Linked DNA regions of Arabidopsis thaliana. The protein of the gene in region 1 interacts with the protein of each later gene in a pairwise test. Each region holds a gene or a part of one and is shown in the gene's direction. Other genes may lie near its edges. The genes, in order: AT4G23950 and AT5G44920.

Region 1 (5,182 bases):
TATTCGTTAGACGTCAAGGGATTTTCAAGGAAAACTCAGACCAGTTGTACAATGCGGCCACACAAGAAAGAGAAACCACATTGAACCAGCTACTCATCGAGCTTGATGGTTTTGACACAGGCAAAGGTGTGATTTTCTTGGGTGCCACCAATCGCAGAGATTTGTTAGACCCTGCTCTTCTACGTCCAGGTCGATTTGATCGAAAGGTTTGTGATTAACAAAATCTAGACACTAAATCTTCTGTTCTCAAATTTTTGATAGCAGTTATTCGAATTAATAAACAACCAAACGACAATCGCAAGCCATTTGAATTTATCTTGCATTAATTTTGTAGACTTAAGAGTACCGGATAGACCGTTAAAAATAATCTTCTTATCAGATAAGAGTCCGTCCCCCTAATGCGAAAGGGAGATTGGATATTCTGAAGATTCATGCCAGCAAAGTCAAGATGTCGGATTCTGTTGACTTATCATCTTATGCAAGTAACTTACCAGGTATAAAATCTACAATTGATGTTGCAAAGAATATTTGTTATGCTCATGGTGTACCTTTTCCCATAGACAACTTATGTGTTTGAACGTATTGGCCTGTATAAAACTTTGATTAAAGTAATTGTTTATATCAATTACAGGATGGTCCGGAGCAAAACTGGCACAGTTGGTTCAAGAGGCTGCTCTTGTAGCTGTCAGGAAAACGCATAACTCGATTCTTCAATCAGACATGGACGACGCTGTGGACCGACTCACTGTTGGTCCGACACGTATTGGTTTAGAATTGGGACATCAAGGTCAGTGTCGTAGAGCCACAACTGAAGTCGGAGTGGCAATCACTTCACATCTTTTATTGCGGTATGAGAATGCAAAGATTGAGCGGTGCGATCGCGTTTCTATCATTCCTCGTGGTCAGACACTGTCTCAAGTTGTGTTTCATCGGCTTGATGATGAGTCCTACATGTTTGGTCGTCTTCCACAACTGCTTCATCGTCTTCAGGTGCTTCTTTTTCTCTATTAAAAAAACTCTTCACTCATTTCTCTAATATTCGATGTTACGAGTTTATTATACTTCTAAAATTTCTATTTCAGGTCTTGCTCGGAGGAAGAGCTGCAGAAGAAGTGATCTACGGTTCAGATACTTCAAAGGCATCAGTCGATTATCTCTCTGACGCCTCATGGCTAGCTCGTAAAATCTTAACCATGTGAGAGGCCCAATTTTGCATATTTTCACATTCCCCTTTAAAGTAAAAGCTTCTTCTTACTCAAGACTTATATATATTTGGATTTCAGATGGAACCTGGAGAACCCAATGGTGATACATGGCGAACCACCACCATGGAGAAAGAGACCTCAGTTCGTGGGACCACGCTTAGACTTTGAAGGATCTCTCTATGACGACTATGACCTCGTCGAGCCGCCAGTTAACTTCAACATGGATGATGAAGTCGCACATAGAAGCGAAGAACTCATTAGCCAGATGTATAACAAAACAGTTTCTCTCCTCAGGCAAAACCAAACCGCTCTCCTCAAAACCGTTAAGGTAATTTCAAACATTTAACCGCAATTGCGTTTTCGTTTGATTTGTTCATACTTTTATTTTCCCATGTGTAGGTTCTATTGAACCAGAAAGAGATAAGTGGAGAAGCAATAGACTTCATACTTGACCATTACCCTCCTCAGACTCCGTTAAATTCTCTCTTACAAGAGCAAAATCCGGGAAGTCTTCCTTTTGTCCCTGAACATCTCCGGCGTGAATCCGGCGACTTTGTCCTTGTTAATCACTCTACCGACGTCAATGCTCAAGTATGATTCCGGCGTCCCAGAGACATCAAATCACTAAGCTTAGGTTTATTCATTGTCCGTCATTGTAACTTCGACTCAATCTCTGAAGTTTCGGACAGTTAAATTTACAGAAATAAAGAAAAAAACTTGGGTCAAAGACACTTCTTTGATTTGCTAACAATAGATTAGACAAACTTAAGTATAAATTTAGAAACAAAAAAAGTTTTAATTCCGAGGAAATCGACGGACAAAAAGTTTGGTTCTTTGTTTCAAACCACACAAGACAGCAACAACACGAGTCATGCACTCTCTTTCTTACCTTTTTTCTTCTTCTTCATCCGTCTTCTTTTGCTCTTGTTCCTCGTGCCCTCTTCTCGGTTTCTACAGATACAGGTCATAGTCATACAACCAACGATCTCTCTTGACTCTCTCCATCTGTGCATGTCACACACGAGTATAGATCTCTTCTCTGCTTTATAGATATGGCGAGGCGCGGAAGCTGTTCGACGATATGCCTGAATGAAAAATTGCAAAGGTTTCGAATTGTCAGAATCTCCGACAAGGCTGATAATTTTAATTCCAGAAGCGGCAGCTTCTTCGAGCGTTCTATCTCTCTCGTTCTCTTACTCTGGTGCTTCCTCTTCCTCGTCTACTCCAAGCTTGGCCAAAGCCATGATGATTATGGTAATGCAGGTAAGTGTTCTTCCTTGTTTGAGAGAGATTCCGTTATCATTTCAAATGTTAATTAAGGAAACAAATTTAGGGTCTTTTAACTTGGGGGGTATATTCCAGAGATTGCTATATTGTGTTCCTCTGAAGAAATCAATTTATTTTGTAGATAGAATTGGGAATTACACTGATGGATCAGTCTCAAAGACACTGAATTCCACGAGTTCTGTCTTCCCTCAGGCCACTGAGAAAGAAAACAACTTTTGTCTCCTGAGAAAAGGCCAGTTACAAGATGTGTATGAGCATGTTCTTGTGAACAACGCTTTGTTGATCTGCAAAGTTGTGTTGCCAGAACGAAGAATAAGCAAGAAAACTCTGGAAGCTCGTGATCCTAGATATGTCAATCTTGAAGACAAGAGTCTCAAAGTTAATGGCTCATCACAGCTTGTGAATAATGGGACTCGTTATAGGTTAGAACCAGATGGAAATGGGTATAACTACGCTTCTGCTATGAAGGGTGCTAAAGTTGTGGATCACAACAAGGAAGCAAAAGGAGCTAGCAATGTGCTTGGCAAAGATCATGATAAGTATCTAAGAAATCCCTGTTCAGTGTCAGATAAGTATGTTGTGATTGAGCTCGCCGAGGAGACACTGGTTGATACGGTGAGAATTGCAAATTTTGAGCATTACTCTTCGAATCCCAAAGAGTTTAGCTTGTCAGGGAGTCTGAGTTTCCCTAGTGATATGTGGACACCTGCTGGGAGTTTTGCGGCTGCAAACGTTAAGCAGATCCAGTCATTCCGGCTCCCGGAACCTAAATGGTTGAGATATCTGAAACTTAATTTAGTTAGTCACTATGGGTCTGAGTTTTACTGTACTCTGAGTGTTGTGGAGGTATTTGGCATTGATGCTCTTGAGCAAATGCTTGAAGATCTGTTTGTTCCATCAGAGACTCCTCCCAGTAAACCAGCTATGGTGGAACTAAAAACTGCAGATGAAAAACAAGATGGGGAAATAAAAAGCAATAGGACAGATCAGATTGGCAAAGAAACTGAAGCTCAGAAGAAGAAAGATGATGTTGTGAAGACGATTAATATCATAGGAGACAAAAAGTATGAAGTCAAGGAGAAGCATAACGTTTTGAAAGTGATGATGCAGAAAGTGAAATTGATTGAGATGAATTTATCGCTTCTTGAGGATTCTGTAAAGAAAATGAATGACAAACAACCAGAGGTTAGCTTGGAGATGAAGAAAACCCTAGTACTTGTGGAGAAAAGCAAAGCTGACATCAGAGAGATCACAGAATGGAAAGGGAAAATGGTAAATTCAATAATTTCTTATGATTAAGTCTTTGTCCGTTGAAGAAACTACCAATGAATTTGATATTCTTTGAGCAGGAAAAGGAACTTAGAGACCTAGAGCTATGGAAAACTCTTGTAGCTTCCCGTGTAGAATCATTGGCTAGAGGAAACTCTGCATTGAGGTCAGTACTCTTTTTTATTCCTAAATAGAGAAAACAGAGGATTTGAAATCTCAAGCGGAGAGCTATCCCATGACTTGAAACGTATTCTTAGTTGACCCCATATTTCTTCTTGTTTCTTGATATCAGATTGGATGTAGAGAAGATTGTGAAAGAACAAGCTAATCTAGAGAGTAAAGAGCTGGGAGTTCTATTGATAAGCCTCTTTTTCGTGGTCTTAGCAACGATTCGGTTAGTCTCAACACGACTCTGGGCATTTCTGGGGATGTCTATTACGGATAAAGCTCGATCACTATGGCCGGATAGTGGCTGGGTCATGATACTGCTAAGCAGCAGCATCATGATTTTCATTCATTTACTCTCTTAGATAGCAGAGTTAGGCTTAGGTTTTTTTTTTTATAACAGTGCCTTGCTATTAAAGTTTGTAACCCTAGGATTAGGAGTAGAAAGAACTTTCATTGATAATATTGGACCCAAACTATCAGTGACAACTGATTTTCTTTAGTGTTTGATGTTCCAACTTCCATAGGTGTAAATGTAATCTGCCCGGTGCTTAGAAAACCAAATAAATTGAAAACCAAAAATAACTAAACCGAACCGAAACTGAATTAAACGAATTTCTTCCCAATTTCCAAGAGAGACAACGGTTTTGTTTTTTAGGGTTAAATTTTAAGGAACCACAAAACAAAACAATCCCCTTGATCCTTTGCCCTCTTTCTCACTATTCTCGACTCCACCAAAAAAAGGGTTTAGGAAATGGTGGTGTCGAAGTTCGGTAATGATAACGCGGCGGGAATGTCGATGATCGAGCAATTGTTTCCGGAGGTTACATGCTACGCGCTCAGATACTTAGATTACTCAAGTCTCTGCCAGTTATCAATGACGAGTTCCTCCATGAGAAAGACAGCGAATGACGATGTCCTCTGGAGAGCCCTTTATTTCCAAGTAATTTTGGACTCTCTTTAACCATTCTGTCTTGTTGTTGTTGTAGCTTTATGGAATAATGTGCTTCTTAGGGTTTGAAGAAATGAGATTTATTCTTGCACTCTCAGGTTTCTTAGAATTCATTGATATTGCCTTAAGACTGGTCTTGCTGATCCAATTGTTTTCCTTCATTTCATTCTCTACAACAAAGGAATTTACAGAGGAAACAAATGGTGGAACTCCGGTTAATGGGTGGAAGGCGTTCTTTGCAGTTACTAAACAAGTCATGACTGTGAATGATAAATTCTTTAGCATCCTCGATTCGAGGTCACTT
Region 2 (4,177 bases), on another chromosome or scaffold:
CTTGCATCAATTATTGATAAAAGTGATTACGATTAATAACACTATCTCCTTTATAACCTACCACCTAAGACTTTTGGTCAACTACTAGATCAATGAGACTTCCACATGTTTTATTTGGTTATGATCTTGAAATAGAAGAAAAAATACAAATCTAAAGATAAATGTTTCTTTCAAAGTAACCACTTTTCACTCTTTTGCTTTATTTTTCTTGTGCAAAAAGTTCCCAAAGTCTCCGCTTCTCTATTCCAAACAGTTAAAACCCAAAGAAACACATAGTCTCTTCGCTTGACCAAAGCTCAAAAAAAGGTCAGAATAATTCATATGAAGTTGTTGAGTGTCCCTAAAAACACGAGATGTCTAATGAAGTCATCAAGCAGCTCGGTAGTCGTGGTCGTGCTTGACCAAAGCTCAATAATGGATCCAGCACGACCACGACTACCGAGCTGCTTGATGACTTCATTAGACATCTCGTGTTTTTAGGGACACTCAACAATTTCTTATGAATTATTATGACCTTTTTTTGAAAAAAAAGTAGTTAAATCTAAATATCTAATACAAGAATAGTTTAAGGATAGTTTACATTTGTTCATTGAATATAGATGAACAAATATCTAAATATTTGTCCTATATTTCCAATTTTTCCATAAAAAATAATAAAGAAGACAGTTGCCAAGAGTTGACTTTTGAAATGAATTTTTCCTAAAAAAGAAATAAATGCTTTGACTTTTGAAATGAATTGGTCCAAAACAAGAAATGAATCTTTTACTTTTCCAGCTTCTTCTTCTCCATATATTCATGAAGAAAAATTAAAGCAAGAAAGTCTCAACTCTCAACCCTCCCATGGCAGAACCACCACCGTACCAACGTCCTCCTCAAGTATTCATTAGTTTCTATGGAAACGAATCGCGCGACAATTTCATCAAATATCTTGTGTGGGGATTGAGAGACGAGAGAGTCAACGTTTTCGTAGACAGAGCAGAAGCAAATAGGAGAGACATACGAAATATTTCCACAAAGATCGAGGAGTCGAATATCGCGGTCGTCATCTTCTCCAAGAGGTATACAGAGTCAGAGATGTGCTTGAACGAGCTTCAAAAGATGTACGAGCACGTAGAACAAAGCAACCTTAAGGTGATACCTGTCTTCTATGATGTGAGCATAAGCGGTGTAAAGAACCTCGAGGATGAATTCGGTAATCATTTCGAGGAACTGAGGGAGAAATACGCAAACGATCCACTCAAGATCTTGAAGTGGGAGGATTCATTGAGTTCAATAGTAGAGCGGACCGGCTTAACCTCCGAAGACCACGGGTAATTATTCTTTTGATGAAATTTATAAGTAGTGAAAACACAAACTGTTTTGAATTTTCTATGAATTTTTTTTTTAGTCAATTCTTGTTAATTTGTTCTTAGGAAGACTACTTATTTGAGCTCATTTAACGGTTTCTTCCTGACATATGTTTGCAGAACGGGTTTAGGTCTTGTGAGGGCAATCGTCACGGCGGTTAAGAGCGAGCTAATGGACTCTGAAAGACAAAATATTACTAAAGGACAAGTGTTTGTTTTGGCTTCAGCTGCGGTTTTTATCTGTAGTCTCATTGTAGCTCGTTTACTATGCACTGATGTGAAAGTTAATAAAGCTGTTAAGTGTTTACTAGGGTTTCCAGTTTTGGCTGGTATCTTGCACCAGCTTTACTGTCTACGGACCCAACCAAACAGATGATGACCTCTTGATTAATCACCAACTTGTGGTCAAATGGCTTTTGATACGATTGGAGAAGCAAGTAAAGAAAAGAAAGAAGCAGAGGCAGTCAACACCGTTGACTGTGTGTGTTGACTGTGTGATGAGCTGGGAAGGAAAGCAAAGTCTCTGGGCATGACAAAGGGTTTGCGGTTGCAGGCTTGGGAGTATAAATAAGGAGAGATATCGATTTAGAGAATCTATGCTTATTGTTGATTGTTGTTGAATTGTGTGAGTCTTGCATGAGAGACTTGAGAGTTGAGCTAGTGATGTGCTAGTCTCTCTCATATGGTGTACTGAGAGCTGACCTAGTGATGTGCTAGTCTCTCTCGTGTATGGTGTGTTAGTGTGTACTGGTTTGGTTAAGGAATCGGAGGTATCGATATTGGAAACTTAACAGTTTTGCACTGTTTGGCTATAGATTACATCTCTGTTTAGTTGTTTCACTCTTTATAGTTTGTCTTCAAAAACATTATTTACCCGACCCATGACCCAGGATTTAGAGTATTTGGATCCATTGAGACAATAATGTTGTATAATATTAAAGAAAGACTGAGGATAGGCGCAGACTTGGCATCGAGCCACTGATTGGTCTGAAGAATTAAAGAATCGTTTCTCTGTAATGTATTTTAAAGGACAAAGTGAGACAACAAAGTCTCTCACCAACTATATTCACTATTTTTTATTCAGACGAACCTAGACACCATTCCAATGGATGAGCAGGTCCAAGAACCTCTTTCTGATCAGGTGTTTATCAACTTCCGAGGAGATGAGCTGCGCGAAATCTTTGTCAACCATCTAGAGCTGCAATTAAGAAACGCAGGGATCAACGTCTTCATAGACACTAAAGAGCAGAAAGGGAGAAGACTACAATATCTCTTCACAAGGATCAAGAAGTCAAAAATCGCGCTTGCTATCTTCTCCAAGAGGTACTGTGAGTCAAAGTGGTGTTTGGATGAGCTTGTGACGATGAATGAACAGATGAAGGAAAAGAAACTCGTGGTGATTCCAATCTTCTATAACGTAAGATCGGACGATGTAAAAAGAGCAGCCAATCCCGATGGAGAAGGCAATCTTGATGGAGAGTTTTCCCTTCCTTTTAAGCAACTGAAGCAAAACCATGCAGGGGAGCCTGAGAGGGTCGAGGGTTGGGAGCGTGCCCTGAGATCTGTGACAAAAAGAATAGGGTTTTCCCGGTCAAACTCAAAGTACAAGTAATACTTCAAAATACATGTATTCTTGATTATGTTTGGATCTATGCCCGACTGATCTTTGATTAGTAGATCTCTTTGGTAAGGAGTTTTCCGCAAATCCACCAAGGCACCAACCCACTTGACCGAGCGATATATGCCGAAACTTGACCGCTCGAGTTTTCTTGATGATTCTTGTATTATTGATATAACCAAAAAAAAGTAAAAACCTACTTGCATCATCTTCTTCTTTCTCTAACTCATGTTATAATTTTTTTTTTTGCAGACACGATACCGATTTTGTTTTGGATATTGTTAAGGAGGTTAAGAAACAGCTAAACATACCAACTGACAACAGTTGGTCAGCTATAGGAGTTGCTTTCTTGGCTATAACCATCAACTTGATCTTTAGTTTCTTCATTGCCCCTAAGTATCTCCCTGATCAGAAGTTTTTCCAGACTCCTGAATGGTTCATAGGTACTCTGGCAGTTGTTCTTGCGTCGTGGTTTTGGTACAAAAATAACCAGAACAAAGCACCACCTCCTTCATAAGTGGCTTTTGTGCAACTTTATGCTGTTTGTTTGTGTGTTGTTTAAATGGGGTGTTAAAGATCATTTGGTTGCTTTGTACATTTGTGTGTCTCTTTGTTAATAATTGTGTTGTAATTGTCAGTTACTATTTTAAAGAACAAACTTGTGCTTTGTATTACTCTGTTTCTGTTCTCTGTGTAGGCTCTATGACTAGAAATTCTCATTGCCCTAAAAGTCTTTTGCTTCTCCATTGGTTAGCTAATAATGTAAATGGTTGATTTCATCACTTGTGTGGTGGTCTTTGAGTATTAGCAAATTAAAAGATAAAATGTACCTCTCTTTGCTTGAATCTCTCTTGATATTTAACACTCCCAAAGTCAAAACCCACCAGGAAACGCGCATTCTTGATCAAACCCTTGACCCGGAATTAGAGAGTGATGTGGTTTCTCTTGTTGTTCCTATATAAAAAGAAAAGGCTTAGAAAGGCGTACTGAGTCATGTATTTGGGAAAAAACGAAGAACAAAGAATGGTTCTAGTTATAATTTATAAGGACTAAATGATCACATTTCTTTACCTTTCCAGTCTTTGATTCATCATTAATAATGATCACATTTTGTTGCTTAGCATGAGCTTGCTAGGCATTTAACCTTACTAGACACCATGGATGATCCCGGTTTGGTTTGAGCATAAACAAGAACATTGAGGGTCACTTCCAT

What was found.
Region 2: the proteins of AT4G23950 (region 1) and AT5G44920 interact in a protein complementation assay, tested with the Arabidopsis thaliana proteins (one study listed by BioGRID).

Annotation. Positions count from the first base shown.
Region 1 is NC_003075.7:12,440,040-12,445,221, forward strand, and holds AT4G23950 (Galactose-binding protein), read left to right. Parts: upstream 1-2,007; 5' UTR 2,008-2,257; coding exon 2,258-2,468; intron 2,469-2,613; coding exon 2,614-3,764; intron 3,765-3,838; coding exon 3,839-3,927; intron 3,928-4,053; coding exon 4,054-4,291; 3' UTR 4,292-4,508; downstream 4,509-5,182. Other genes in the region: FtsHi1 (FtsH extracellular protease family), read left to right, coding at 11-206, 380-494, 632-990, 1,083-1,195, 1,284-1,533, 1,605-1,802; AT4G23960 (F-box family protein), read left to right, coding at 4,726-4,869, 5,060-5,182. UniProt on the Arabidopsis thaliana protein: Encodes a member of the mid-SUN subfamily of SUN-domain proteins. It is involved in early seed development and nuclear morphology. [TAIR].
Region 2 is NC_003076.8:18,136,514-18,140,690, forward strand, and holds AT5G44920 (Toll-Interleukin-Resistance (TIR) domain family protein), read left to right. Parts: upstream 1-2,261; 5' UTR 2,262-2,451; coding exon 2,452-2,954; intron 2,955-3,216; coding exon 3,217-3,481; 3' UTR 3,482-3,677; downstream 3,678-4,177. Other genes in the region: AT5G44910 (Toll-Interleukin-Resistance (TIR) domain family protein), read left to right, coding at 841-1,310, 1,467-1,722; ARAD2 (Exostosin family protein), read right to left, coding at 4,113-4,177. UniProt on the Arabidopsis thaliana protein: Could play a role in nuclear morphology, specifically nuclear size.